4 linked regions of the Tamandua tetradactyla genome follow. The protein of the gene in region 2 interacts with the protein of the main gene of each other region in a pairwise test. Links are inferred from orthologs where the notes say so. Each region holds a gene or a part of one and is shown on either strand. Other genes may lie near its edges. The genes, in order: FAM124B, GOLGA2, GEM and CCDC87.

Region 1 (6,952 bases), on a different chromosome or scaffold from region 2:
GTTTCCCAAGACACCAGGAAGCAGGGGGTGTCTCCACAGCCAAGGGTTGTGGGAGGTCTATGAGAAGGAGGGAATAATGTTCTCTTCCTACAATCTACCCTGGAAGGGTAATGAGACTTCTAGAAAATCCAAAGAGGAATATGACTATTTTTATGTTACATACAGAGATTTTCCTTTGTCAAAAAAATAAATGAAACTACTCTGCACTCCCCAAAGTTGATTCAATTTTCCAAAGTAACTACCAGTCAGTAGCTGTAATTCAGGAGTAAAACTGTCAGTAAGCCTCTAAAACCAGAATGATTAAAAATGTGCCCCCTGCTGAATACACATATTAAATTCTTGTTTGACAGTGAGGTTGGATCTAAATTCTGGAGATTAACTAAGACTGAAGGGGAAATTTAGATGCCTTGGAAATTAGTGGGTTATATAACAGACAACTAACAGAAACAGTACTGTCTACAGTATGTGATCAAGAAGGCAAATAATCTAGAAATCATTCAATATAGGCTATGATTCATATTTTATTTAACTAAGAAGTCAAAGCTGATAACAAAATGAGCCAACAGATAAGACAGCTCATCTCAGAGCCTGTTCTTACTTTATCAGTTATGCCTTAAAGGGGTTGGTAATGCTTCCTCAGGGACAGAAGCCACAGCGTATTTTGCTGTGAATATCATGTACATGTCCCTGTCTGCTAACACACACACACTCACTTTCACACCCACAGAGCCCTAGAGTACAACAGTTAAAACCATGAGTTTTGGAGGCTGATAGACAAACCTATAGGTGGGTCTTGGGCAAGTAACAGAACCTCCATGCCTCAGTTTTATTATCTTCAAAATGAGAAAAATAATGACATCTTATGTTACCAGGATTAAATAAAATAATTCAAAGTACTTATTATAGGGCATAATAGGAATAATAGCTAAATTTGAGTTCTGGGCACTATGCTAAGAACTTCATAAGTATTAGGTTATTTACTGTGCATACCAACCATTTAAGAAAATACTATTATCCTCATTGTGCTAAATGAGGAAACTAAGATACTAAGTGACCAGGCTCAACTATCACATAATACACCAGGAGAGATGGCATGGGGAGCCCATCTTGAGAGTTCAGCTTTAATAGGAAGGTTACAAAAGAAGGCTTTCTTTTGAAGGAGATTTAACCATCTAACTTGGTTTGAGGTAAAATTTGACAGCAGTACAGGCTACTTAACAAATTAAGTCAACAGGACCACAAACTTCACATCTCCAAATGTAATCACACCTTCGACTTCCTCAGGTCAGATAGAAAGAGCTTATGATATTTCTGAACCCAAAAATAAGTAGGAACAATATTTGGATCTAGTTGATTGGCATGGTAAAAAGAAAATCTGAGAAACAGGACATGGTCTGCTTCTCCGGCAAACTATATGTGTTAGCCACAAGCTCACTGAGTCTGAATTTCCTTATCTGTCAAGTGGGAGTTTTTTAGATCAGAAAACTCTCAACTGCACTATGTATTAGAATTATCCAAGGAGCTTTTTTTAAAAATGCCCAGTCTTGGATCACCCCCTCCCCCCCACCCCACCCCTAGAGATTCTGATCTAACTGGCCTGGCAAATGACCATGGCATGGGAATTTTTTTTAAGCTCCAGAGGAATGTAATGTGTAACCAAGGTTGAGAACCACTAGATTAAATTATGTCTTCATTCACATCTCAGATGTAAAATTACACAGTCTCATATGCTTTTACAAGTCCAGAGAGGGAAAACAGAAATACCTGCAGCAGAATCTTGTTGCCATCGTAATCCTGAGTTTGCCACCTGGTGCTGCTGATGGGAATGCATGGATTGGGTAGGAGAGGCACCAACTGGCCAATCTCTTGAACCCTGAACTGTAGCACAGAAGACTCTTTCAGGTCCACCGACACCCCGAGGGGCAGCTGCTTCAAAGAAAGCTGCAAGGCAAAGCCCTTGGTGGAGTAGAGCACAAAGAAACAGAAGTCGCTCTTTTGCAAGGTGGCTTCTTTTTGTAAGATCATCTCGTAGAGTCGGATGGTGTCCTCGTAGTTATCAAAACTGCAGTAGAGGGTCACCCTCAGGATCTCGGTGCTACAGTGCACCTGCCTCACTCCCCAGATGGGCATCTGGTTGTCCAGACTGTAGAAATCCTGATTGGCAAGGATGTACGGGTACAGTCTTCCACGTGCATGCTGGGTGGGGTAGTAGTGCCAAGGCGAATGCTGTAGGGAGTCAAGAACACGAAGTATCCGCTGCTCTCCCAGGCTCTCATGCAGAAAGAGCAGAACAGACATCCCCGGGAACCGTGACCGCTTGGGGTGGTACTTTTCATAGTATTTCACTGGACTGACCCGCTCTGACACCAGGAAGACTCGAACCTCTGGGCAAATGCAATCCAGGAGCTGGTCCAGAGTTTGCTGCAGAAGCGAGCCATGCCCTGAGTTGGCAAGGAGATGTACAGTCATGGCCAGAGGCTCTTGTCTTTCATCCATTTTGGAACTGCCAGAATACTAAAAGAAAAGAAAAAGAAGAAGAAGGAAGCATTCAGTGCCCACTGCTCAAACTTCTGAAATCAATGAAGGAGCCAGGAAGGCCATGTTGGGTTCTCACGTGGAACCTTCACCTCACCAAAAATGCTTCAGCTGCAACAGCTACTAAAGAGCAAAGCACTTAGCCAGCTAGTGCACAGCCTAGTGTGTGCTCACGGATGCACAGTGCGGGAACCGCGCACAGCCTGGGCACAACTGCTTCAGCTGCACACAAAGGCAGTCAGGCTGACATCATCCAGCTTCAGCAGAATGGAGCTCTTGTGTTTTGCTTTTTCAGGCGTTCCCCATGGTTTCTGTTTGACCTAAAAACCTATAATCCTGAGAAACAACCAAATGGGTGGTTCTTACAGGCACTCAGTAAAGGAAATGACCACTCAACAAAAAAAGAACATGCTGATAGCAATCTGGTTAGTTGAAAAGATAGCCATTTTATTGACCCACATGGGTTCTGATTTCCTCCCTGCATCTCTGGGTGTTTACAGTAGCCTGCCAGGCCACCTAAATATAAGGACTTCTTTAAAACAATTCTCCAAACTTGTTCCCTTGCCAGGTTTTTTTTTTCTTCTTCCCTTCTTTGTCTTTGGGTTTTTTTTGTTTTCGAACATTGTATGCTAGAGCATTGAGACAAGGTACTTTATCTAAATGATTTTGGCAGGTCACTGAAAATTCTTTGCTCTATTGCAAAATCTGAGTGGTCTAAAAGTACATTGAAAATCAAATCTCCCCTTATTCATCAAAATCTTCAGAAAGAAAAGGCTTTCCAATGTAATAAGAAAAACAATCATTGCTCATCTTTGTTGAGGATCCACAGCTCCGGACATAAACTTCTAAAACGTCATATGAATTCATTTCATCCTCCAAAACACCTATGAAGAGGAAACTATTATCCCCAAATTCCTGATGATGAGATTCAGACGCAGAAAAACTAAGTAACTCATGCGGGTTATCATAGCAAACAAGTGCCTCCGTGAAGGTGTCAACCCAGGAATTGAGAAGCACCTCTGAGACCTTCTCTGAGGTCTGGGCAGCGGCCCCGGGTTTTCTTCCTGAGGTTCTAGTTGAGGACACGTGTCTCCTAGAGGCTTTGTGTTTTGTGGAATCCTAAATTCTTAAATTCTGAAATACTCATCAAGAATATATTCAAGCTCTAAACACTGCCCATAACACACTAATATGCTCTAAACGTCGGTTGGAAAATCAATTGCTATTTTAGGAGCTGTGTCCTAGAAAGGTGTGGACAAGCACATCTATCTAAACATAATTCTTCTTAAAAATAGGCAATTTATTACTTAACAGAACACGGTGTGATTTTATTATTTTATCGATTTAAAAAACACTTTTGTCATGAAAAATATTATCGTAACTTTTATTTTATATATGGTTCCTTTAATAGTATAATAACCAAATATAAAGCCAAAATTACTGTCCATGGATAGGAATCATTTCTATTCAGGTTTATTCCTAAATCTAACCTACAATTTTAATCATTTCTGTTTCATAATTCCAATGCTTTATGCCTTGGAAAACAAATAAATGCAGTTTGTAGAGAAATCTTTTTAAAACAACTATCAGAGACTCAATAATTAAATATATGTTGCTTAAACTTTCCAAAAGTCATTAGAGTTGTTCTTTGTTTTTTTCTTGCATGGACAAGCAGCGGGAAATGAACCCGGGTCTCCGGCATGGCAGGCGAGAACCCCACCTGCTGAGCCACCGTGGCCCTGTTTTGTTTTTTTGTTTTTTTTAAGGATTACATCTCTTGAGTTGGTTTTTTTTTTTATTTTTTAACTCAAGTTATTTTAATTGATGGCAAATGTTAACATCTGAAGGCAAACAACTTCATCACTCAATGTGAAGCCTCTCTCCTTTCCCCTTTCCATCTACCTACAAAACCAACTATGTTCTGGCACTTTCTACAAGACCATGGTTCTTGAAACAGCCTCTGCAATTCTGGAAATAACTCTAAAACTCTGAGGAGGAGAAAAATTATACACTGAGACAAAGATATTAAGCGACAACATTTTGTACAAGGCAAATGTTTAAGTCCTCCTATAGGAAAAGGTTTTCCTTCTGGATGCTATTGTTTGAATCTCCCATTCAATTCTGAAACATACTCTATCCTCTCAGGATTGTCATTTCTGTTACGATTGAAAAGATTTCATGAATCTGATGGCAGTCCAAGTGCCAAGGAATTGGGGGTAGCTAGGGGAGGCGTGGGTGGGGAACCAGCAGTCTCATTTCTGCCTGGCTGTCTCCGCACGTATTTCTCCATGAACTAGCTGATACATTGACCCTTGGAGTGACTGCTTCCACTCCCTGCCACCCACCTCCACCCACACGATGGCCACATTCTCTGCTGCATTCCATGGCACTCTTGATGCTTGCACATGGCTTCTGTTGAATGCACAGATGAAAATGCTAAGGAAAGTTGTCAACTTAGACTCCCAGGAAGTGGACAGAATCAGACACTTGATTCTCTACCTTATTTTTCTTAAACTCGCCGAGATGCGCAGGTTTTAGCTATCGATCACCAGCTCCTGGAGGGCAGCCAAGTAGCCAACTCTTCACAGAGGGCAGAGGAGCTGGCGACAGTGGTGCAGGGAAATCTAAGAACTCTGCTAGAGGATTTGGTGGAACCCAGGGAGGGCCTCACGGATTTGTCCCTGCTGCAAATCTCATAAGCAGTGCAACAAATTCACACCCCGACGTCCTACCCCCACCTCAAGAAAACTTCTCTTTTCTCTCTTTAGTTTGCAAAATCTATTGAGGTATGCAACATGTTGCGAGCCAGGCATTTTGCCAGGAGCAGAGAAAAGATAATCACCTTGTGCCTACTTTGGGGAATGTGCCAATTGTGAGTGTGACCTTTGATTAGAGGGAGATGTAACTCCACCCATTCCAGGTGGGTTTTGATTAGTTTACTGGAATCCTTTAAAAGAGGAAATATTTTGGAGAGAAACAACAGAAATAACAGGGAGAAAGCCAACAGAAACTTTAGAGCAGAGCTGACAGTCAGAGAACAGAGATACAGATGTTTGGAGATGATTGGAGCCCAGCAGACGTCGCCATGAGATGTTAAGCATGTCAGAACCTGGAGAGAGCCAAGGGAAGCCAAGAGAGGAAAGCCAGCCCTGGAGAAGCAAACTCAGAAGCCCCCAAGGAACAGGGGCTGAAAGCTACAGAGTCCAGGAGCAAGGGACCAGCAAATACTAGTCATGTGACTATCCAGCTGGCAGAGGTATTCCTGACCCATTGGCCTTCCTGGAATTATGGTATCTTTCCCTGGATGCCTTAGTTTGGAGAATTTTATAGGCTTAGAACTGTAAACTTATAACATTAAATTCCCCTTTTCAAAAGCCATTCCAGTTCTGGTATATCGCATTCTGGCAGTTTGCAAACTAACAGAGGGAGGAACACCTTAGAGTACATCACTGATGCTGTGATAAGGGTCACTGCAGGATGCCATGGGAATCTTTGAGAGCAGCCACTGGCCTAGATGGGAGGGCCAAGGATGCTATGAAGAAGAGAAAGAAGATGACGCTTGAACTAGTGAAAAGCAAGAAGGAATGAGGTGGGGGAGGTGACTGGATATGGGGAAAGGGAAGGGATCCTAGGGAGAGAAAGGTGATGGGGAAAGCACCCGGGAATGGCTAGGGAGCCTCACTCATTGGTGCAACTAGCAGCAGTTCCAGATGGCAAAGGGTGGGGACTAGGAAAGTGGTAAGAGGCTGGAAAGGTAGGCAGAGGCTCCAACAGGAAGGGCCTCATGTACCACAGTGATGGGTTTGCATTTTATTCTAACGTGAACAGATCCACAGAAGGGTTGGCTTGGAAAAGGGAAGTAACTCCTGCAGGAAGATGTGGACAGGAGTGATAAAAGGAAAGTCAGTGGACAGGCTTGTTTACAGGTCGGATGTGGGCAGAAAGCTACAGTAACTAGTCCAGGAAGCCTCCCAGGTAATACTTAATAGATGCCTGGGTGAGGCTATCAGGGACCCAAAAAGGAATATGGGAGAAAAGGAGCAGTCGGGAGGGAAGGGAAGGAGCATGGTTTGTACATGTTGAGTGTAGATGCCTTTGGGACTTCAGAGTGGAGATGTCCAGTCGGCATTTAACATACAGTTTAGAGAAGGGCTGCAGGCCACAGAATATGGATTAGGGAGCCATTGGTATTTAGGTAACCATGGGAATGGATGCAATTACCAGAAAGAGAATATACAGTGAGGATAGGATAGGGAAGAGGATGGGGCCCTGGGAGCATCCAGGTTAAGGGATAAGTGATGTTTAATTGATGCCCAGGGAGACGTGGAGAGTAGTCTGCATCTCCTACATCTGTGCAGGTGCTTGAGCCTCAGGTTCCAAGGATTTCAGGACACCACACTGCCTGGGCAGACATCTT
Region 2 (7,500 bases):
CAGGTGATTTTTAGAAAAGACTGGGAGCAGAAGATCCTAACCACTCATCTGTTTGGTTAACCTCACAGCCTTTACAATGAGCTCTTCTGAAAAAAGAACCTCAATTCTTTCAGCTATAATCTCTTACCCATATATTTCCTACACTCAAACCAAAAAGAATTCCTCAATTCGAAAAATCACAAACATCTTTGTGGTCTACTGGCCCCCTAGGAATAGATGATCTAAGGGCAAGACAAAGATTTTTAAAAAATCTCTCCTAGTCTGATAGCACCACTGGACATTCAATACCGAGGCCCAAATAGCTTATATCCCTGCTCTGAAAGTTATTCCTAAATTACCTAAGATACACTACCACCTTCTCCAAGGTGATAAAAGACTTGGGGGAAGGGAAAAAAACAATCAAGCAGGTGAAAAGATATGAGCAGGCTGAAGGTTAATGACAGCAACATAAAATAAGCTAGAAGTAAAGAATTCCCCAAACCAGAAAAGCCTCAGGAGCATGCACAGGCGGAGAGAGCAAGCCAGAGAGGGGGTCTTGGCACTGCCTCACCTTCCACTTGTCCAATGAGGGTAGTGCTACCCCATTGGAGCGGTTAAGGTCGGACACCAACACCTTCAGAAAGTCCTGAATCTACAGGCAGCAAAGGAGGAAAATAGGGGGAGGGGGGAGAAAGAGAGAAGTGACTTAGAAAGAGGTAAGAGTCAGGACAGCGAAGAAGAGGTGGGTTCAGGGAAATGGGATGCTGAAGAAGATACAGGAGGGGATCAATACCGCAGGCTGTGCCGTCCTTCCAAACAGCCACTTGCTGTCTTGCCAGAGGCAGAAATCAATGTACACAAATAAATGGAGAAGTTCACTAAATTAAGCAGTCACATAGACGGGGGGGAAACACACTTTTGAGTAAGGGTTCATTTGAACAAAGGGAGCTACAGCTAAAAAAAGTTTGAAAGATGCTGCTCTAGTCCAGCAATATCATCTTACAGATGAGGAAATGAGGCTCAGGGGAGGAAGAGATTTTCTGAAGGCAAACTGGTGGCAAAGAGACTCGGAACTCAGACCTTCTCCTAATCCTAGTGGCTGGGGCTTTCTTCATCACACCTTGGGGCTCTGTTGGGACTTTCTAAAGGGAGAACCTGACAGCAAGTGGCTGTTCTCATCAGCTTGGCTTCTCACTGAGGCTGGGAATGAGGAAAATCACCAGAGCAACAGGTCAAATGGAAACTACCATTTATTGAATATTTACTCTGTACCAGACCCTGTACTTAAGGACTTTTATAAAAACAGCAACAATTCTCATTTAAACTTCACAATATATAAATAAAACAGTATCTCTATTTTACAGATGTGCAAAAACAGTCCCAAAGAGCTTGAACAATTTTTCTAAAACCACATCCTTAGCAGAGGAAGACAAAGTCAGAATTCTTAACTAGCACTTAATACTTCCTCTTCCATAATCTTAACCCTTCTCCTCTACTGCTCTTTCTGCATCCCTATCCCCGGAAGCCTGGCCAGCCAAGACTCACATCCTCAGGTGAGTGGTCATCAGAAGTTGGTGTTTCAGGACCATTTTCTATCTTTTTTTTCTTCACTCTTGGAGGAACAGGAAGATTGTTTTTCATCTGAAATTCGCGTAACTGCAGAAAGGAAAAGGAGAGACGCTCATGAGAAATCTAAGCCCCTGGATGCAATCTGATTTAATGCCACACCAACTCTACAGGGTGTATAATTTTCGTTTAATTACCGAAGAAATGGACTCAAAAAAGTCAAGTGATAGGTAACATGGCTTAAAAAAAAGTTATTTAAATTTTTGACTTAGAAGTTCTGGGGTTCTCCCATAATCAATAGCTGCCAAGGGGAAAAACCAGAGATGGACATCGAAAAGTAATTATTAAATGGGCAAGACCAATACACTGTATGATTTAGAAATTAGATATAGGGATCCTTTCTATACTTCATACAGTAAGCACACTTCAGAGAACCCTAAGTCAAGAAGATGACATGAAGAAGATTCCCAATAGTGAAATTCATGCATTTTCCCAGGATCTATAGCACAGAAGATAAGCAGATCTTACTCTAAAGAGCATCAAATGAGGGGGAGTCTGGTCCCAGAATCTTAGGGTATTAGAATGTGAGGTAGACAACAAGAAATATTTCAAAGTCTCTCTGGAGAGTAGAAGCCTGGGAGAAAAAGCCAACAGTAAGCTCTCCCCTTGTCACCAAGCGATGTTGTAAACATTTTGAGATCAGCGGTGAAGTGTGGGCTGTCAATGTCTAAGGATGCGGTATAGCCAAAGTATGGGAGCCTGAAACCTCTCTGCCTATGTCCCACAGTCCCGAGTTCCCTTCAAGCTGGTAATCTGCTCCGCGACCAGAGAAGCCGGAAAGGGGTGAACACTGGGGATCGGATCGGAAGATCAAAGGCTGGTCCCATGGCGATAATGACAGCTCCGAGGGGGACTGTGACGTAACTGCATTCCATCTCTCCCTACCCTCCTCCGAGTCACCGCTCGGCGGTGGGGGAGGGGAGACCAGCGCCGGGACCGAGGTCCCAGGAGACCGGGAACCCAAGCTGGCCAAGAGCCCACGGTGGCTCGGTTCTGGGCAGCAGGACCCGAGAGCCCCGCTCAGAGCAGGGATCCTGGGGGTCACCGGCCCAAAGTCACCCAGGAGCGACGGGCGAGGGCGGGAGCTAGGCAGCCGAGGGGGCGGGACTGGCTGAAAAGACGAGAGGGGCGCCAAGGGGAGCCGAGGGGCTCTTCCCGTTTGCCTCAGGGGCAGTTCAGACTCTGGTCACCGTGTGGTGGGTCGGAGGGGCCTCCGGGCTGGGTCGGGAGCCGCGACCCAGCGCGCTTTACCTTCTTTCTGGCCGAAGCCAATTTCTGCTGTCGGGTTTCTTCCGACATCTCGGGAAGGGGAGGGGGACGGGGGAGCCACATCATCTAATCCCAGCAGCCACTGCGAAATCGCTTCCGCTAGCTACCGCGCCGATGTGTGACTGAGCCAGGGAAGGGAGGGACCAGGGAGGTACTAAGCAGCATAGAATGTGGGCGTGGCCTAAATCTCCCCGTCCATTGGGCGAGGAGAAAGATGACACGGAAAGGGGCGGGGCCATATCACTGTGGGCGTGGCCGGGAGGGTGTGCTCACAATGAAAGATCCTCGCGGAGTCACGTCTCCGCCCACTTTGGGGGGAGGGGCGCGACCGTTGTCTCCGCCCGCCTTGGAGGGGCGGGGCCCAACAGACGTCTCCTCCCACCCTGGGGGCGGGGCGCAACCGCTACCTCCTCCTACTCTGAGGTGGGGCGGACCCGCCTTTCCAGGGTGCGCGCGCAGGTCTCATTATGGCGGTTCATTTCCCACTCCGGGTTACCGTTACTCCTCAGATCTAAGACCCATCTCCAGCTCTAGTCCTGGACCCTCCCCCACCGCAGACTCCCCCTAGCCGGGGACCCCGGACTCCTGGGCTCAGGAGGTAGGCGAGGAGCGGAGAAAGGGGAAGGCTCAATCCCTCACAGCCCTTCTCCTGACTCCGCAACGGTTCCAGACTTTCTCACCCTCTCAAAACCCCGCTCCACCGCCCCACCAGACACTCCCTCCCCATCTGGGACCCTCCCCTTCCTCGAGGGTCCGGTACCTACCCTAATCTCGTGAGTATATCGCTACCCCTCCCAGCTGGATCCAGTTCGGGTCGCTTTTACTTCACATCTGCTCTTCCTCCCACAACCCCACAGCACCCTTTCCTCCCAGAGCACCCGTGAAGTCTAACTAGTTTTTTTCCTCAGATTCCTCTCCAGGACTCAACCAGGACTTTCCACTAGTTGCCGCGGGACCTTCAGATCCCCTGTGAGTATGTCTGTGCCCCCGCCCCCCCTACACTCGTACCTAACTACCTCTTGCCCTCCTCTCCGTCCTCAGCGGCAGGTGATCTACTCCTAGCCCTCATCCAGCGGTTGGTTCGCAGTGGCTGCTGGGACTGGATGATGTGGCCCCACCCTCCGTCCCCCTCCCTTCCCCGCGGGGTCGGAAGAAACCCGACAGAACCGACTGGCTTCGGCCAGAAGAAAGGCAAAGATCTTCCCTCTCAGACCTTATTCTGCCGAGAAACTCCAGGGTATTTCTCAATCCCTCATCTTCTCACCCCTACACACATTTTTTCCTCCTGTCTGCTAAGTTTGGGGGGGGGAATCATTGTCCTGTCCTGTCAGAAGCCAAATTCTGTGCTAGTGGCTGGAATCCCCTCCGCCCTGCCCTCTCCCTGCCTCCCAGATGTATTTGCTGGTCTCTGGCACCAGCCAACTCACCTGCTCACTGGTTTCTCCCTTCACCCAGCCCTACCTTTAAACATACCCAAAACTCTTCTGTCGGGAACAGGCATAGCTGCAATTGTCTCCTCTTCTCTAGCAAACCACCCCCAAAACATGACCTCCTTTGCCTTCTCCCCTTATCTCCCCCACCCCACCCCACCCCTGCCCCATGGGATTCCCACCACTTCCCCCACTCTCAAGTTAGACTGTGAAATACTTGGTACACATTTATGCGTTCAACATTGATTAAGCAACTGCTCTGAGGCTGGCATCAGGGATGCAAGTGTATGCGGTAGTCCCTGCCTCCCAAGGAGGCACAGGCTGAGGATGATGAACAGGCAGAATTCCAGGACCATATGAGCACATTTATGTGAGGAGGAGCCCAGACTTAGGAGTGCAGTGAGAGCTCCCCAGTGGTAGTGAAGTCAGAGGCAAGGGCTAACTGACAGGGTAGATTAGGCCAGATGATGTGGGTGGGAAGCCACAAGTTCACCAAAAGTACCAGGTTGATTGACCCTCTCTCTAAAAGTACCCTGATGTTACTTTCTTTCAGAGAGTCTCAGTATTCATTGTCTTTGACCTCCCTGTGTCTTCTGATTCTGCCTAGCACATTCATTCCCATCACTAACAAGTCAAGTCTTTTATTTTACTAAGCCCTTACTTTGCCTCAATCATTGTGGTTGATTCATCTTGCTGAATCCTTTCAACAACCTTTGAGGCAGAAGCGGATGAGGACTCTGAGTTCCAGAGAGATTATAAATCTCACAGTCCTGGGAGTGATGGAGTTGCAGCATTTAAACTGAGGCAGCCTGACTCTAGATCCTTAGCTCTTAACTAATACCTTCTTTGGGCCTCTTTGGAAGATACCTTATCCTGATCCTCCTCTGTTTTTCCTTGCTTGCTTGGCTGGCTCCTCTGCCTCCTGTTTCTTCCTTAACATGAATTTGGGTGTATTCTTGTGGTTCCACCATCCTCCCTCTATTGTTTTTTCTACACACTCCCTCAAAGATCTCACTTCAGTGCTTTCAGCTCATGTCAGTGCAGATGATTCTCCCATCTCTCTCTAGGCCGGACCTCTCTGGACACTTAACAGCTGCCAGCAGGATACCTCTACTTTCCTTTCCAACCATCCTCACATCAGTGGTCCCCTAGTCACTCAAACTGTCTCTCCTCCTTATTAATGGCACCACAGTTAATTATTTTTATTATTTTTCACAGCACTTTTATTATCCCTTCACCCACCCCATTCCACCCACACTGAAACCACTCTCAGTTCTCAAACACATTGTGCTGTCCCCTGGCTAAGGACCTTTGGATATACTGTCCCCTCTGTCTGGAATCCTTTCTTCCATCCTTTTCTTTTGCCATCTTTTTGCTTGCTCATCCCTCCGTATTCAGCTTTCTTAGCCTTCTCCATACTTTCAGGATTCAGCTTTCTCAGCATTCTCCCCACTTTTGGCTCAGCTGATTCACCCTGTGCTTCCACTTCAGGACACTTTTTAGACTTGTAATTAGTTGATTAATTATATGTCATTCATCTGACAAATATTGGGTGCTTCTTTATGTGACAGGTACAGTCACAGACACTATGGAATCAGCTTTGAACAAATGAAAGTCCCTGTCTTCATGGAGCTTATACTCTAGTGGTTTAAGGCAGACAATGAAAGTAGTAACATTGATGAAATGTTTATGTCAGGTGGTGATAATGCTATAAAAAGTCAGGGTAAAGGATAACAAGTGATTGAGGAGTTATCGTTGTAGACAGAGTGTATGCAGTGACATGTGAGAACAAGTTTCAGTGGAAATGTCTGGAGGAAGGGCATAATTGTTTGGTCTTTTCTATCTGGGGCCAGGCTTGATGTTTCATGAAGACAAGACCAGGCTTGATGCCTTGTCCATTGTTAAGCTCCTGGAGCTTTTCCCAATGCCTGGCAGATAATGCTGTCACTATTTGTTGGTTAAAAGCCACAGATCTAAGAACAGGAACCATGTCTTCCTTATTCTCTTCTGTCTAGACACTTCACGTAAAACAAATTGTTTTGAGATTAGCCTTCACAGCCTTTAGGGACAAAAAGGACAAAGATAAAACTAGCTCCTAGAAAGTATTTTGCCCTCCAGTGAGATTATAATTCCAGGGACATAGCAGATTTGAGAACCCAAGAAGGTGACCAGAAACGGAATTTTTTGGGTCAGATTGAGGAATAGGGTAGGTATATTAGTTAGGATTGGACTTGCCTGAGAGTGAAAGAAAGCTCCAGATAACAGTGACTTAAAAATCACTAAGAGGCAGGCAATGGTGGCTCAGTGGCAGACTTCTCATCTGCCATGCCAGAGACCTGGGTTTGATTCCCAGTGCCTGCCCATGTGGAAAAAAAAAATCACTAAGTACCCATGCCTCTATCTTGTCCTGCCATGACTTCAATGTATGGCTTCTATGTCATCTTCCAAGATAGTTGTTCAACACCAGCATTACATCTGCATTCCAGCCTGTAGGTAAGAGGAAAAGCCAGAGAAAGGCATGCCTTCTGCCTCGAAGGATGATTCCCAGATATTGTATACACCATTTCTGATTGCCTTCCATTTGCCAGAATGTAGTCATAGGGCTCATCTAATCCTAAAGGGGGCTGGGAAATATAGTCCCATTCAATAGGGAGGTAGGTTTCTATTACCACGACAAAAAAGTAGAGTGATTAATGGGGGAGGCACTTTGTAGACTCAGAATTACAGATAATTGGCCAGTCCAGTTAATGACTTTCTGCCACTCAGATGCTGTCTCCCAAGTCTGACCCGGCCAATGGAGCCAGCGAGGATTCTCTTCAGCTTGACATTCAGAAGCTGAAAGAGAAGAGGGACATGTTGGACAAGGAGATCTCCCAACTATTATCTGAGTAAGTCCCCTTTGCTGGATTCCTCGACATGGTTAAGAAAACTTTTGATTTGTGCCCAGTAACTGAAACTTGGTCACACTAGCTTAGCGTAAAAACAGGACTGTGCTGTTGGATTCATGGTGACTCAGTGGCCTTCAGGGCAGGGAGGCTGGTCGGCCTCAGGAGAGCCCAGAACTGGAAACTGGAAAGCTGTCAGGAGTGGAGTCAGTCACTCTTCCGGTCTCTCTCTTGGGCTCCCATTCTCTTCGTCTGCATCCATCTGCACAGATACTCTAGTCTCTTTCTTCAGCAAGGTTTTCAATGCATAA
Region 3 (7,649 bases), on a different chromosome or scaffold from region 2:
CACTTGACTTTGTAAGTCTCCATTTCTTCACCTGTAAAATAAGGATATTAGTGCCAAATTGGTTCAATTTTGTAACTATTATCAAAAGTACAGGTGATGCAACAGTGGCTCAGTGGCAGAATTCTTGCCTGCCATGCTGGAGATCTGGGTTCGATTCCCGGAATCTGACCATGCCAAAAAACAAAACAAAACAAAAATACATGTGGGAAGTAAACGGCAGAATGAGAAAAGCACTGAACTACGATTCCAAAGCCCTGAGTTCTAATCCCAGCTTCTTGAATAGGTGTTTTTAGACAAGCCACTTGGTCTCTCTGAGATTCAGATTATTCATATGAGGATAGGAATTCTGTGAAAACAACAACAAAAAGCAATAGCTTTTTCTGCCATTGCATACTCAATCTTATGAGTATACAGTCTCATTGCATACACTCATTCTCAATGTTCGTTCCTTCCTCCCTTTCCTCCTCTTTCAGCAACAGTCATCCTGCACCCTTTCCAAAGGAAGAAAGGATCAATTGTACAATACTGACCCTACTCCTCCCTTGTCAGTTTAGTTGTCATCCCTGAGATCCCAAAAGCGAGTTGAGAATCTGTGTCACATCAGTGAGTCATCACTTATAGCACAATTCCTGAGCTGCCTCATAATGAAGTAAACTCCCTGACACTGGAGATAGTCAAGAAGAACAAGATGTTTAGTTCAAATGGGCCACTGGTAGCGAGCATCAAATGGAGGGTAGAAGTGAGTCATCACTAAGGCATCTGCCTACTCTAGGAGTGTGATTCAGTTGTGAGTCGCAATGGAGTGTGTGGACAGACCAGGAGACTTGGGAAAGGACTGGACTTTCATTTCTACAGCTACAAATACAAATGCTCAGCTACCTTGATTGTGTATGGCAAGTCTCTGAAAATCATAGCTAAAAGACACTGCATGAACACCATAGGCTGTTAAGATTCTCATCTTACTTCCCAGAATGTAGTGCTGTGCTTTACACCGAGTTCAGGAATACATCTATTTATGAGCTAATGCCACCTCAAATTAGTTTTGGAAATAGGTAAGCCTTAAATAAATGAGTATTTTAAGTGAGATTATACAGTGGAAATTGTTTTGAAAAGATATTAGACTTTATACAAAGTATTTATATCATTATTATACTTCAAATATATTTTTAATGTACTATTCCGAGTAAATTTTTGACCAGCTCTATGCCACCGATTGGGAAAAAGTGCCCCTCAGGCTAAGTCAAGTGTAGCACTCACCCTGGCCACAGTCCACCTTTCTCCAAGGAACACAGATGCACTTTTCAAAATGAACCTTCGGGGATAAGAACTGAGGCAAAAGGAGGGAGAGGACAAGGTCCAGGTCAGAGCCAGCAAAAGCCAGCAGTGGGATCTTGACTCTCTGGCTCTGGGCCCTCGTTAATCAGACTCCCCCAATTCTTTTAAAGCTGGAACATAAGCAATTCCCTTGCTGGCCCAGGTTCAACAGATTTTGGCCCTTCTCATGAACATTTTTATTTTCTTGTCCCAAGGACCTATGCCAGGGCCCTTTGGGGGACTCAGCTCCTCCAGCCACGCCAAGAATCTCAATTCCCAACTCTGCAGATAAATGACCTACCACTCGCCCTTTCTTCTCGGTCCCTCTGACCACTGCTGATGGACAGAAGCCCACTGGGGCTGAGCCACCTACCTCCCAGCATCTCACAGTCGCTGTCCATGCTGTCGTGCACACCTGCAAAGATGTTGGCCAGAGTGGACTTGCCCACCCCTTGCTCCCCAATGAGCACTACCCGGTAGTAGGTGTTCCCTGACTCTGAGGAGATGACTGAGTCCGTGGAGTCGGAGGACCAGCTCCGGCGGCAGGGGTCCTCAGGGGCAGCCGAGTGGCGGTTGCGGTGGCTGTACTGGTGGGGCTCTTTCTGAACCATCAGATGCCTGCCGTCAGCTGGGATGCTCCAACGCTGCTGCTGCGGCTGCATGGCCACAGTGCCCTGGCGCATGGTGACATTATTCAGAGTCATCGCTGGGTCCTGGGGAGCAAAGCGGCCAAGATGCCAGTATTAGTAAGCATAGGCAAGAGCTCAGGGGACTCAAACACATGGTCAGTCATCAGTGACATTTTATTAGGTTAGTTGAGAAGTGAACATCCCTAATATAAGGAATACCAATGAAGTAGCCCCAAACCCCAAACAATCCAGGCTTTCAACACACACACACACATACACATTCCCCACACTATTAGTAACCACCTCCTCATGGAGGCTTTCTAGACTTATATTTGCAAAGAGAAAACACTACCGTTAATGTCACCCACTGCCCACCAGCTTCCTCCATCCTCAAAGCAGCCTGGGATCCCTACTCAGAGCCCACACAGCAGCAGCCAGAAAGAACCAATAGCCTCCTTGTTGAAAAGCAACAAGTTAACTGAGCAGGGGACCAGCTGGCCAGGTTAACTGCTCTTGTCTAAACATGGCTCTTAGCTGCATCAGGACCAGCAGGCTTTTGTGCCTCGGTAGGAAACACGTGGCAATGACATCACTCCCCCAACTGGACTGGACAAGCACTTATTGGAACTTCCATGTTTAGTAAAGTTGCCTTGATGTTCTCCAGCTGCCTGACTAGGCTATTATTTGGAGGAAAAAAGAACTTCTGTTTGAAGTTTATGCCTCAGCTCTGCCCTCTTGCCCACAGATATCATGTTTAAAACATCCCAGCCCCAAACCTCCCCTTCTCTCATTGAAATGACCTGGCCACATTCAAATCTATCAGATTTTGCATTGACAGTGCTTCGCTCTTATTAATCTAGGTACACTCTGAGAATTCCTTAATTCAACTCAGATTTCCACCTTGAAGCAAACCAGAAGCCCAAAGTCTCTCCTAAATGACCCTCAATCACTTCACTTACAACTTAGCCCTTGTAAGACTCCCTCCCCTGCACAGAGGTCTGCCTTCCCTGACTACTTTGAGTTAAAGTAGCATTCTCATTGTAATCAGCAAGATCCACTCATAGGAGTGTGATATACACTCCCACACCCCCACACCCCACACCCCACCACCTTGGCCCCTGAACCGGCTGGCCCGCTGGTGCTTAAACCTTAAAAGCAGCACTTCAGTTGGCAGACTTGCAGTCACACGACAAAATCATAAAGTATCATAGAGCTCTGCCGTCTGACCTCCCTCCGTAAGAGGTGACCCTCTGCTGAACAGAACTAAGGAACCTGCTGGAAAGAAGCAGCATCCTTTGCACCTTAAACTATGCCCCTTACCAGACAACCACAGCGCAGAAAACTGTGGGTCTTTCGAACCTTGGAAGAAGCCCTGCGGTCTCGGAAACGCCCACCCATTCCCCCGACCCCATAACTCCCTGCGACGTACGGAAAACCCTTCCCCTACTGCCCCCCTTACTTGGCACGGCGGGGTCAGTGGGGTCGTCGTCGGTGAGTCCGTGTGTCCGTCCGCGCTGGGATCCTGGGGCCGCGGAGCGCGGTGGGGCTGCTCGCGCAGTGACCGCCCGCCGGTGCCCGCCGCCTGCAGCCGCCACGGCCCCGCGGTTTATAAAGAGTCGGGTTGACCCCAGACGGGGCTTTTCCGTGACGTCAGCGCCCCCGCCGGGAGGGGGCGGCTCTGCAGCAAACTCAGAGTTGCAACCACTCCACACTAAATCAGTTACTCGCAGTCATGTGACCCGTCTCCCCTTTTAAAAAATGACAGTTCATTTCCAGGGCTTCCTTTATTTTGTTTTATTTGACTTTTCCCAGGTAGAAACAAGAAAATGACAAAATACACTAACTGCCACTTAATCGCCGTTCCTAGCACAGCACTGCAAGCTGTTTGGGATAACGGACGGAGGAAGAAGGAGGCATGAGTTGTGAGCCCAGCTTTGCCAAGAAAACAGGGATCATCCCTGCACGAGGAGAGCTAGCCTCCAGCATGGGGCTGCAGACAGCTTCAGCGGCCAGGGCTTGCTTCAGCCGCATTTTCTATATGGAAAACAGCCTCGCAGGGCCTCCTGCCGCCTTCTTTCTGGATAAGGGGTAAGGAAGGGGGCAGGCTCCACACTGCTCTGAGTTCCTTGTTTGGAAGGGGCAAGAGAGGGGTGAGAAGAGGGGCAAGACCTTGAAAAGGGCAGTTTTGAAAAATAATTTAATTAGGGATCGAAGCACATTGGCCTAAATATTGTAGGACCTTCTGCTCGGGGCCAGGATGCTGAGGCTTCTCAATCAGGGAATTTAATCAGCATTCCAATCAGCAGCATATCTGTACCAGGATCTCTGGTAGGCCGGGGCTCTGGCCTGGAGCCAGTGTCTCCCAGCCATGGGGAGGGACATTGAGCAGAGGCAAGGGGCTCCAGTCCCCTGAGAGACTCCTATGAATAAAGCACACAGCATAGTAATAACAGCAGTGATTGCCATTTTCGGAGTACCTCATTACCGAATTACTATGTCCCGTCATTCCTTTGCAGATTTTAACTCTTAAAACAATTCTGCAAGATGGACTTATTGCATCCCCCAATCTGTGGAGGGAGAAAATGATGCTCAGCCAAAGAACCTGCCCAGTGTCACACAGCTCAAAATAAGTGGCAGGTTCAGGATTCGAAACCTCCTTTGTTTGACTCTTTGCACTGCATCACCAGGAGAAGGGTTTTGATGACCTCTTCCTGGGGACATGGGCATTACCCAGATGCTGTGCTTGAAAATGATGCTGGCCTTTCTGACCCAGCCATCCACTTTTCTGGCCAGCTTCATCTCTGGGTTGGCTGGCGGCTCAAGGAAGCAGCCAAAGGTACCAGCGTCTATTTGAGTGACTAGACTCTGCTGTGACTAGAATTTATATGGCATCTCAGTCCATTTTCAGTTATCTGCTTTAGGGATTATCCAAATGACCAGCTGCTGAGATGTGCCAGTCCCCACGCTGGCCAAGGTGGAATCCACAGGGTAATGAAAACTTAGAGCACCTTTAGCCCCATATGTAAGGAAACTGAGACCCAAAGAGATGACAGCCAATCAGTTAAAGTAAATGGCAGAGCTGGGGCTAGAAACTGGGTATCATAATTTCCTGGCCAGTGCCCTTTCTTTTGGACTTAGCCAGGAGACTACAGATATGGAGCAAGGAAAAGAGGGGAAGTAAAGGGGGAGAGAGAGACAGAGACTCCCTCACTCCATATTAAAACATGTGTAATTTGTGAATTGTCTGCATTTCAGAATTATCCATGCTATTCATGCTAAGCCTCCTACTCTGTCAACTTGTCTCAACAGGAACAAGTGAAGAGTAAGATAATAAATCAGAATTAATATGCATATCATATATTTTTCTTTTTCACCTTTGCCCAAAGATACCTAATTCTTCATATTAAAAAGAAGTGAATTCTGTACCTGGCAATTTACAGTGAGCTAGTTTTCATTGTCATATTTAAGACACACCAAAGAAAATGATCTCTAAAGATTACAAGTGGGAGGACGGTTGGCTTTCATCCATTATTGATTCAGTAAGTACAGCAATGTTTTGTTTGAATTAGAGAATCTGCCTTCATAAATGTGCTGACCCATAAGGACCAAGATGAATGCAAATGAGAAAAACAATTACTTAGGGAAAGTTTAAATAATACAACAGCTAAGTTGGAGTGAATATTTAGAGAGAAATCACAATTACAGCACACGAAAAGAAAATTTGAGAGCCAAATCTTATCCAGCAGAGTTTCAGCTGCTTTATCCAATATTCCATTTCGGTGGGACCATTGGAGGGTAGGAGCTTGCTCAGGGCATTTGAGCAAGTGGCAAGTTCTAAAGAGGAGAAATTGGCAGACATTGTAGTTTCTTAGTCTATGAATTATTGTTTCCATATTTTTTACGCCAGAATTTGACAACTGCCTCAGGTTCGGGCTGAACTGAAAAAGCTGAGCTAGCTAGGAGGCAAAATTGAAAGCAACAAAAATAACTGACATTTACTGAATAACATCCATGACTTATCTCAATTAATCCTCATCACATCTGTCATTATCCATATTTTATAGATGAAGATGCTGAGGGATGAGATTGAATGATTTACCCAAGGTCATGGAACTGTGAGGTGACAGAGCTGCACCCTCTAAGGCCACCGTCTTCACCGCTGTTTGATTTGGGGTAGAAGGACACGTCAGCCCTGTTCCCATACTAGTCCCACCTCTTCCCACTCCTTTCCTGACACCCCTCAAAAAGAACCTTTTGTCTGATTGCCCAGAGCCCATGGCTTTCACTGGGCCACATTTTGCCAACAGGCAGGGTTACTAAAAGGTATTAACCTATGTTTTTCTGTTTTTATTCCTAGTTCCTTGTCCTTGGTGAGAATGTAAATTCGGGGTCCCTTTGAGGACCATCTCTATCGCTGTCACTGTCTCTCTCTCTCTCTCTCTTTCCATGCACACTGAACAACCAGGTCCCTTGCCTTTAAGCGGGATGAAAGAGGGTGGAAAGAAGGGAGGAAAGAAGAATAGACTCTTTGACCAATCCTGTGAAATAGGGCGTTAGGCGCTTGCACAACCATTCATAAAACATTACTTTGTATTCTATCCTTTGAAAATTCAACGGGAGGAAAGGTGATGGATAGTCACAGGATTTGTACATCCCTGGGTCTGTGATAACATCCTAAAAGCTATAATACTTTATTCTAAAAGCAACAAACTCACACATTTAATCTTTAATGTTCTCTACTGCTTCATCTATACAGTAGACTTATTACAGCTACAGTAGTATTCTCACATGCCACTAAGTAAATGCTCCTCAGTGGTAGAGGTGATGCCACCACCACTGCCTCCCTTTCCCACCACCAAAGAGGTGACTTCTAGATTGGACACTGGAGAGATGCTAAGTGGGGGTTGTTTGAGTGCTTTTTAAAAGTTTTGCATTGTAACATCTTTAAGCAAGGCATGTGCTCTCCAGTTCCCCAGTCCTCACACTCCCTAAGGCATCCACCCCAGCCAGCTTTTCTCATGTATATTGTCTGCCTGGCCCCCCAAAGGCATCTGGCTCTGTGACCCCCTGCATGGGATAAAGGAAAGAGTAGGGGATTTGGCCAGCCTTGCCTCTTCTCAGCCATGTGATGCAGGGCATGTCACCAAACCACAGAGGCCTTGGTTTTTGCTCCGCTGTTCTGGGGACTAAATGAGCTACTGAATGTGGAAGGGTTTTGTTAACCACAGAGTGATTATGATTATGATGCAGGAGCCCAAGATTGGAACTTGGCCACATGCCCTCGGCTTTGCTGCCTCGTAAGCCGCAAGTTAAATTAACCCAGTAGAATTCAAGACACATGCAGTGGAGGGAGGAAGGGCGGGAAAATGTACTCACATTAGATGTTGCTAGGAAAAAATAATTAGCAAGGAGAGTGGTGTGGTTAAGTTCTTTGTAAACAAACAAGGAAATGGGGGTCAAATACCCAGCACTCATAATAGGGCTCCACCAGCCATAAAAATATTCAGAGGAGGAGCTGGGTGGGAGGCAATGTGCAAAATGTTGGAGAACAAAAAGAACCACCCATCCACTCTGGGAAGTCTAAAGAAGGAAAGAATTACTATATGGAAAATCATTGCTTTACAGAGGGGGTAAAAATGGTCCCAGTTGCAAAATCAAAAGAGCCCTGATTAAGAGAGAATAAAGCCTGAAGAAAAGATGGCTAAG
Region 4 (7,984 bases), on a different chromosome or scaffold from region 2:
ATCTGTGGTTCTAATCAGCCAATTTAATGTAATGTATTAGGAATGATAAACTGGGTCACTCCAAAGGTCATGGTCTGCCTCCATCTGACATTTCCCATTACAATAAATTCCAAGGGATGGTCTCAGTTCTTTTGATCTATGAGATTTGGGCTGTATTGTGCATGGCTTAATGTAAGTGGGAATATTGGGGCTTGGGTATGTTTTTTTTTTTGAGAAAGTCACTATCAAAAAGTTTTATTCTCAGACCCTTCTGTAACTGGAAACGCAAGGTTCCTGAAGCCTGCACTCCCCTATTTCTTCTTCCAATGCAGTGAAGAGGTCTGAATGAGCTGCTGGGTGTTCTGGAAGGGATTTGAGGGTACTTCGGCCGGTCAAAGGGTAATGGGAGTGTTTCCAGGAGCTACTAAAGGCCGGCTGCTGAGCCTTTTGGAGAGGGCTGACAGCTGGGAGGGCTTCTGGGCCCGGACCACGTGGTGAACCCGCCGCCGCTGCTGCAGCCAGTACAGCATCTCAACTTTGTCATACTTCATTTTGTCCAGATAGCGCCGCCCCTTGAAGGTCACTGGAGCTTCAAAGATTAACTCAATCTCCTCCAGGAGGGAAACCAAAGAAGCCTCCACTTGACTGAGCTCCCTGTACAGATGGCTGCGGATCTGATTCTCCTCCAGGAGGCGACTCAGGCCTATGCCAGTCTTTTGGAAGAAGCGATTGGGGTCGGAGGCATGTCGCTCAAACCACTCGAGTTTCCCCAGCAATCTCTCCCGCAGTTGAATGGGCTGCAGGGCACGCTCCCAGGCACTCACCAATGAAGGCAGCTGCCCTAGACGGGCATTGGAGCTGTACTTGATGGCCATGTCCAACCGGTCCTTGTCGGGGACCTCAAGCATGGACCACAGCCGTTCCAGGCGCTTCTGCAGGCTCAGGAGTCTGTGGGGTTCTCCCAGGAGGTCCAGCCTCTCAACCCCCAGCCCGTGCTCCAGCACCACGTTGCAATCCCACTCTCCCGGCACAAAGTCCCAGGGCTCTTCATCTTCTAACAAGGGAGGAGGGGGAGGAGGAATCTCCTGGGATGCTCTGACAGGGGCCACTATTTCCACGGGAGCCTCCTCTTCGTACATTTGGAAGATGACGTGGAGAAAATCCGTTTCCTGGCTGGTGAGGTACTTGAAGTAGTTACCTCCAGACAAGCTGGCTTGCCACCAGTTCACCCATGTGAACTTGTTCGACCGCTTATCCCAGCTTTTGCTTGGGTAGAGCGTTACCAGGGAGGGCGGCCTCTCTAAGTTGGGCTGCAAAGCGTTTGCTTCCTGGGAATGATTATCAGCCAGTTCAGGGTTGATGATGCGGTATTGTTTTACTTGACGTAGGAGGGCTGAGGACAGGAAGGTAGACCAGTCTTTATCTGCTGCAGGCTCAACCAGGGGTCCCTGGTCAAAACGGAAGTGGTCAGTAGAGACCCGGCTCATCAACTCCTTGTAGATCTCCTGGATGTTACTGCCCACAAAACAATGGGCATCCATTTCCTCGATGAGTTTGGAGTCCAATTCACCAGCCAGGTGGTTGTACACGACTCCAGCCCCCTCTACGTGGAAGGAATCAAAAAAGTTTCTATCGGAGACCTGCACAGCAGCTGCCTGGGCCACGACTTGATTTCTTAGCTTTAGAGTCACAGTCACTGGCTGGGGTTGAAGTGGCAGGGCTTTGGGAGACTGGAGGTCCAACTGGCCAGAGGTTTCTTCCTCCTGGAGGGCCTTCAATGTCCTCTGCAGCTCTTTCATGCGGTGCTCTGCAGCCGGGCGGCGGGTGAGGGCCCCCAGGAGTGGGGGCAGCCCTGAGTCCAGTGATAGGGCACAAATACTCTCCAATTTGATTTTTACCACCTGCTTCAGATCCTCAGTCTGGGTGTCCCTTGGCAGCTCCGGCTTGCCCTCTGCAACCAGGACCAGTGGGGTTAAGGGGCGAGTTGGGGTCAGAGAAAGGCCCAACTCATCTGCCAGCTTCCATCCTTCTCGCAGACAAGGCATGGACTGGTGGCCCTGGAGCTGAGAGGAGAGGGGGAAGTAAAGAGGGGGTGTAGCCGGACTGGGGGGAATCTCAATGTCACTGGGTGGTGACACAGTCTGTGAGGGAATGAAGTCGAACTCTCCCTTCTTTGGCATGGAGGGCAGCCAGTGGAGAGACTTTCTCTTCTTCAGCTGGGGGATGGCCTTCAATTCCTTCATGGGATCCAGTTGCGGCTCGCTGAAAAACTCTGGCGGGCGGCTGAGATAGACCAGGTAGCTCAGGTTGAGGCTGGAGCATGGCACGTGAGCAAAGCCGGTGCTGTGAGGCCAGGGGATAGGGCAGAGTTTGGAAGCCTCCAGGGGGCTGCCTCGGTATTGCTGGTCCACGGAGCGGTGGGCCTGTACCCTCAGCACAGCCCGGAAGTCAGCGAGCAGGCAACGGTAAACGTCGGGGCCGGTAAGGAAGAGCGTGCAGTCCCTGGCGAGGTTGGCGGCCAAGCGTGTGAGGGTGGCTGGCTCGGTGAAGACGCCTGCAGGGGCAGACATGGTCACCAGCAGGTGCAGGTAGCGTAGGAAGAGCTGCTCGCTGCTGAGCAGCACGTGGGCCTCGAGTCGCTGCCGCAGCTTCTGGTTGTCCCTCTGGCTCAGATTAGGTTCGGTGGGAGGCTCTTGCCAGCCGCACTTCAGCTCGTCCAGGATGACCTCGGTGAGGCGGAGCCGGTCCTCGGGAAGCACCGGGGCCGTGAGGCCGCAGCGGGCCAGCCGCTCGGCTACCTGGCGGCACAGCGACGCCACTGTCAGCCGGGGGCGCGACAGGATCTGCAGCATCCGCATCTCCTGCGGGGGTCGCTTCTGAGACTGTGCGGGCGGCGCCTGGCGGGGGAAGAGCGACAACGGCTGCAGCAAGCGGTGGTAAAAGTGCTGCAGCTCGGGCTCCCGCTTCTGGCGCGGCATCTTCGCCCAAGGCGGCGTCTGCAGTTGCCCAGGCGGCCCAGGGGTTACTAAGGCAACCGGGGTCCTAGTGGCCCGAATGCGCCTGCGCAACCTATGCCCCTCACTCTGTGGGCGTATGGAGGGGGCGGGCTTTGCGTGCACACGCACTAGGGGACGGGTCAAAAGGTGACCCCGAAGCTCCGCCCCCGACGATGTTCTTCCGGGTTTGCGCTGCAGGAGCGGAGTGGTTCGCGTCTTCCCGCTGGCAACTGAGTCAGGGATGGCATCGGAGTCGGGGAACCACGAGACCACCTGCCTGGTGGGGGTCGAGGCCTCGTGAGGGAGCTAGAAAGGGGGAAAGGGGCGGGCAGCTAGGGCGGATCATGGGATCCTGGGTGACCCTGGGGTGCGAAGGTAGCAAGGCGCCTGGCGAGATTGTTGAGGAATGGGACCACGGTTCTGGAATGATCATGAGTGATAATGAAGGGGGCGCTCGGAAAGGGGTCACTTGGGACGTTTCTTCAGGCCTTTGGGGTGGCAAAAGGGGAGGTGGTGAAACAGGGTCGCGCACGCCTCAGGCTCTCATCGGCTCGTGCCTACCGCCCCTGCAGCTGGAGTTCGCTGTGCAGATGACCTGCCAAAGCTGCGTGGACGCGGTACACAGGTCCCTGCAAGGGGTAGCAGGTAAGAGCCTGTAAAACTTCCCCGGAAGACAGCAGTCTGGAGGCATCTGGGAGGGGCCAGACAAATTTCTTTGACCGACCCAACTCCCATATTACAGCTGCAGAAAGTGAGACCCAGAGAAAGGAAGGAATGTTATCAGAGTAACACAGAGACCCAGAGACAATGCTTAGTGTACAGGTTGCAGGTCTGCCCTGCCAGAGCATGTATCGGCTCTAACTGCCTTGGCCTTCGGGTGTTCTGAACCTCAGCCGGCTGAGTATAACTCCTCCTACCGAGGGCATTTCCCAGAAATCAGGCATTTCTTGCTTGGAAATCAGCATGATCATGACGAAGCAAACGGCAATCCTGGCGATGGACCATCTTAGATGGCTCCTGGTTCTCAAAAGCCTGCTAGTTTGGAGGTGACCTGGCACAGAGATCTGAGAAAGCAGACCCATCAGCTTGGGTCTGGGAACTGGTTTACTCTGATTCTGTTAAATGTTTATCCAGTCATTCACTGCATAGCCCTGGTAATGGACCAAGCTCTGGCATCTTAAAGCTCCCAGGTTCATCAGGCACTCCAGCATTGCCTCGGTAGTATTCACAGAGAACTTCATGGAAGAGCGGTTCTGGAAGGAAACAAGTGAGAAGGGTTCTGCAGCTGGAACAGTAGGAGCACTGAGCTCTGCACAGAATGGCAGTGAGAGCAGTTAGGGCCATGAGCTCTGGAGTCAGTCTTTTTGGGGTCAGATCACCTCTTCACCCCTTTATAGCTCTGAGACCTGCAAATTATATTTTGCATCTCTGTTTCTTCAGCTTTTAAATGGGGCTGGCAAAAGAACCTATCCTGGAAGACTATTGTAAAGAGTAAAGTAGTTAATACATGAAAAGTACTTGAGAAAAGTCTTTGGCGTGTGGTAAGAGAATACTGGATCTTGGGTAGTCTCAGAGGAAGAGCCCACAGTGATGGTTTGGTTGGGGGCAGGTGTGAGGGGGCAGACTTTGAAGCAGAGTTTGCTCAAATTCTGTATTTTGAGGTGGCAAAGTAATGGTCATAGGGAATTTGAGTTAGTCCACTGGCATGTGGAGGGCTCTGACCAAAGATTTGCCAGGATGTAAGGCCCTCTGCTTCCTGGGAGAGCAGACAGCTGGACTTTCTGATGGACACAGAGCAGTGTTCAGCCCACAGCAGGTTTCTTAGGCAACCTGTAGACTTCTGGAGACTGTGACTTCTGGCCTGGATGACTGCAGCTGGAACCAGCTTGACTTTCTCATGGGCTAGGTAGGGAAGTTGTAGTTTTCCAGAATGCAAAGAGAGAAAGAGCACGTGCGAGAGAACTGCCCTGTCCTGGAGACTGGGGCCTTGGGGAAGAAGGATTCAGCTCTCCTCCCAGGAGTCAGTGGAAAGAGCTCACATTTAGGAGGTTCTCTGCAGAACTGAACAGCTGTTTATTTGGGGAGCCTTCCTTCTGGGTTCCAACCCAGGCTAAGTTCAGAAGGTGAATGCTTAAGAGGAGCTTCCTGCCTTTGCATTTCAGGAGGAGAGCAGCAGCTTTTGGCCCTCCACCTTGGGGCCCAGGAACCCACCTCTGCCCTCTGAAACCCTTGTCAGATGTATGTCCAAAACATTCCGAATCAGCCTCCCTTTTTAAGTAGTGTAACCTCCATATCCCGGCCATCTCACCTTTTCCTGAACTATGCAAGATGCTCCTTGGTGGACTCCCGACTGCCTGTGTCGCCCCTCTGCTAGCCTCTCTAATGCAGTCAGAGTTGTTTTTAAAATCATAGATAAGATAATGTTGCTCCCTGTGTTAGTTTGCAAACTGCTGGAATATACCAGAACTGGAATGGCTTTTGAAAGGGGGAATTTAATAAATTACAAGTTTACAGTTCTATGAAAATGTCCAAATTAAGGCCCCAACAAGAGTTCACTCAGGGAAGGCCAGTGGGCCTGGAACACCTCCATCAGCTGGGAAGTCACGTGGCTGACATCTGCTGGTCCCTTGTTCCTGGGCTCTGTTGCATTCAGCCTATCAGTGAGCGTTCCTCACTTGGCTTCTCCAGGGCTGGCTTCCATCTCTTGGCTTTCCTTGGCCCTCTCCAGGTTCTGGCTTGCTTAGCATCTCATGGCAGCTGGAGTGGAGCTGGGCTCCAAGCATCTCCAAACATCCGTGTCTCTGTTCTCCACGTGTCCACATCTGTGTCAGCACGATTGTGAAGTTTCTGTCGGCTCTAAGTCTTCTGTCATTTCTCTCTTTCTGACCCTCCAGTTTCCTCTTTTAAAGGATTCCAGTAAACTAATTGAGACCCACCTGGAATGGGTGGAGTCACATCTCCATCTAATCAAAAGTTAATACCCACAATTGGGCATGTCACGTCTCTAGCCAACATTATTAAATCAGGATAAAAAAAAGGCTGCTCCCACAGGATTGGATCAGGATTAAAACATGGCTTTCTTTCTAGGGTACATAATACTTTCAAACTGGCACACTCCCCTATTTAAAATCTTCCAGTAAAAACAATGTTTGAGAGCTTCATTTGGACCAGGCACTCTTCTAAGTGCTTTATATGAGGCCTTTAATAACCCTCTGAGGTAGGTGATGTTATTGGCTCCATTTACAGCTAAAGAGACTGAGTGGAAAGTTTGAGTAATTTGTCCAAAGCCACACAGCTAGTATGCAGCAGGTACAGGATTTCAACTTCAGAGCACAAACTCTCAGCTACTATACTCTGCGTCCCCTCGATGACCTCCCGTTACGTGAAATCCAGATTCTTTCCTGTGGCCAACAGGGCTTTGCTTGATTTGGTGCCTGCTTACAACTTCATATCTTGCTGTTTTCTTCACTCCCAGCTCCAGCAGACTAGCCTGCCTTCTCAGAAACCTCGAGGTGGTTCCTGCTTCAGGGTCTTTACCTGTGCCATTCCCTCTGCTAGAAGGTTCTTCCTTGCATATGGGCCTCAAAAGAACCCTAACATGGCTCTCCCTTCCCCACAGTCATTCCTGACTTTTTCCTTGCTATATACATTCCCACTGCCTGGGTCATGGCACGTAGTCCGTGCTTAGTCCATATTTGTCAAATGAATGAATATGTGAATGAATAAATGAAATCTCTTGGAGCCTCAGACAACCAGTCCTTTGGGGTCCAACCCCACCTGGTGTGGGGCAAGGGGACAAAGTATCAGCTTTGGGGGTTATACAGGCTGCCTTCCGAGCTTTGTGAGGACAGTATCTCTGTCTTGGTGAGTGGAAAACACGGAGCACAGTGGCCCACCCTGGGGCTCAGGACACAGGTTCCTTCCCATCCTGCCCGACATCCCCTGTCCAGGTGTTGGCATCCAGAGGTGCCTCTGGCTGCACATCCCAAGCACCAAGATTTCACAGGCTCAGGGTGAGATGTATGAAGTTAAAGACAGCTTGATTATTTTTAGAGGATCCCAAGATCCCTCTGTCCTGGCAGAGAAGGAGATGGGTCTATCTGTCTAACTTCTGACACAGTCTGTCCCTCCCCCAATACTGTCACCAAGCTGCAGTGGACCTCAAGAGGCAAGCAGAGTGAGACCCTTTTTAACCACAGGCCCGAGGATTCAAAAGTTCTTTTAAAAGGCTTGAAAGCCCAAATAATCTGAGAAAAAGAGAAGCCTCTTCTTTTCCTGCCTTGAATTTGAGTAGGCTCGCTGACCCTCAAAGCTGAATGTGTGTGGGGATTATCTCACAGGCTTGTGAACACACAGGGGTGACTTTGGGGACTTCAAGGGAAGTTGAGACTCTCCAGGCTCTTTTTCTGACCCACTAACTTTTGAACCTGATGCCAGCGAGCCTCACAGACCTGGCAGCCTGTGAGTGAAACAGGACTTGTGATCAGTGGTATGTTGTGTTACTCAGAGGAAATGGGAGCTGCCGCAGGAGAACAGAAGAGGGGGGTCCCCAGCCCTCCTGGGGAGAACAGGCTGCTTCTCTGGGCTGGCGGAGTGGCCAGGTTGAATGCTCGGACTTCTCAGGGAGGCTGCCTGGGCTTGAATTCCAGTTCCACAACTTCTAACAGTGTGACTTGGAGCAAGTTTCTCAATCTCTCCATGCCTCGGTTTCCTCATCTGTAAAGTAGAGATAATAGGACCCAACTCTCAAGCTTACCGACCGAGTATCAGATGAGTTACTAATGTGGATAAAGCCCTTACAAGAGGGCCCAGCCCACGGCACAGGCTCAGTAAATGTTAGCTCAGCTGAGGATAGTGATAGTTCTTCCCACCCCCACTTTTTTTTGGTTTGCTAAAGCTGTCAGAATGCAATATACCAGAGATGAAAGAGCTTTGAAAAAGGGAATTTATTGCATTATTAAGTTTACACTTCTAAGGACATAAAATTGTTCAAACTAAGGCATCCAGGG

Evidence for each region.
Region 1: the proteins of GOLGA2 (region 2) and FAM124B interact in binary tests that used the Homo sapiens proteins (3 or more experiments, as listed by UniProt). The two-hybrid records come from large-scale screens. The link is inferred for Tamandua tetradactyla from reciprocal best matches to the Homo sapiens genes GOLGA2 and FAM124B.
Region 3: the proteins of GOLGA2 (region 2) and GEM interact in binary tests that used the Homo sapiens proteins (3 or more experiments, as listed by UniProt). The two-hybrid records come from large-scale screens. The link is inferred for Tamandua tetradactyla from reciprocal best matches to the Homo sapiens genes GOLGA2 and GEM.
Region 4: the proteins of GOLGA2 (region 2) and CCDC87 interact in binary tests that used the Homo sapiens proteins (3 or more experiments, as listed by UniProt). The two-hybrid records come from large-scale screens. The link is inferred for Tamandua tetradactyla from reciprocal best matches to the Homo sapiens genes GOLGA2 and CCDC87.

The regions. Positions count from the first base shown.
Region 1 is NC_135329.1:200,148,595-200,155,546, forward strand, and holds the start of FAM124B (protein FAM124B), read right to left. Parts: upstream 3,019-6,952; 5' UTR 2,497-3,018; coding exon 1,765-2,496; intron 1-1,764.
Region 2 is NC_135328.1:51,074,387-51,081,886, forward strand, and holds the start of GOLGA2 (golgin subfamily A member 2), read right to left. Parts: upstream 3,009-7,500; 5' UTR 2,941-3,008; coding exon 2,857-2,940; intron 1,636-2,856; coding exon 1,525-1,635; intron 632-1,524; coding exon 551-631; intron 1-550. Other genes in the region: DNA repair protein SWI5 homolog, read left to right, coding at 3,149-3,297, 3,432-3,647, 3,783-3,843, 3,962-4,111, 7,071-7,192. UniProt on the Homo sapiens protein: Peripheral membrane component of the cis-Golgi stack that acts as a membrane skeleton that maintains the structure of the Golgi apparatus, and as a vesicle thether that facilitates vesicle fusion to the Golgi membrane.
Region 3 is NC_135332.1:137,604,025-137,611,673, forward strand, and holds the start of GEM (GTP-binding protein GEM), read right to left. Parts: upstream 3,015-7,649; 5' UTR 2,332-3,014; coding exon 2,296-2,331; intron 2,028-2,295; coding exon 1,688-2,027; intron 1-1,687. UniProt on the Homo sapiens protein: Could be a regulatory protein, possibly participating in receptor-mediated signal transduction at the plasma membrane. Has guanine nucleotide-binding activity but undetectable intrinsic GTPase activity.
Region 4 is NC_135335.1:7,814,426-7,822,409, reverse strand, and holds CCDC87 (coiled-coil domain-containing protein 87), read right to left. Parts: upstream 3,005-7,984; 5' UTR 2,958-3,004; coding exon 372-2,957; 3' UTR 163-371; downstream 1-162. Other genes in the region: CCS (copper chaperone for superoxide dismutase), read left to right, coding at 3,217-3,255, 3,548-3,620. UniProt on the Homo sapiens protein: Plays a role in spermatogenesis, where it is important for normal sperm head morphology. Also required for the acrosome reaction and thus normal male fertility.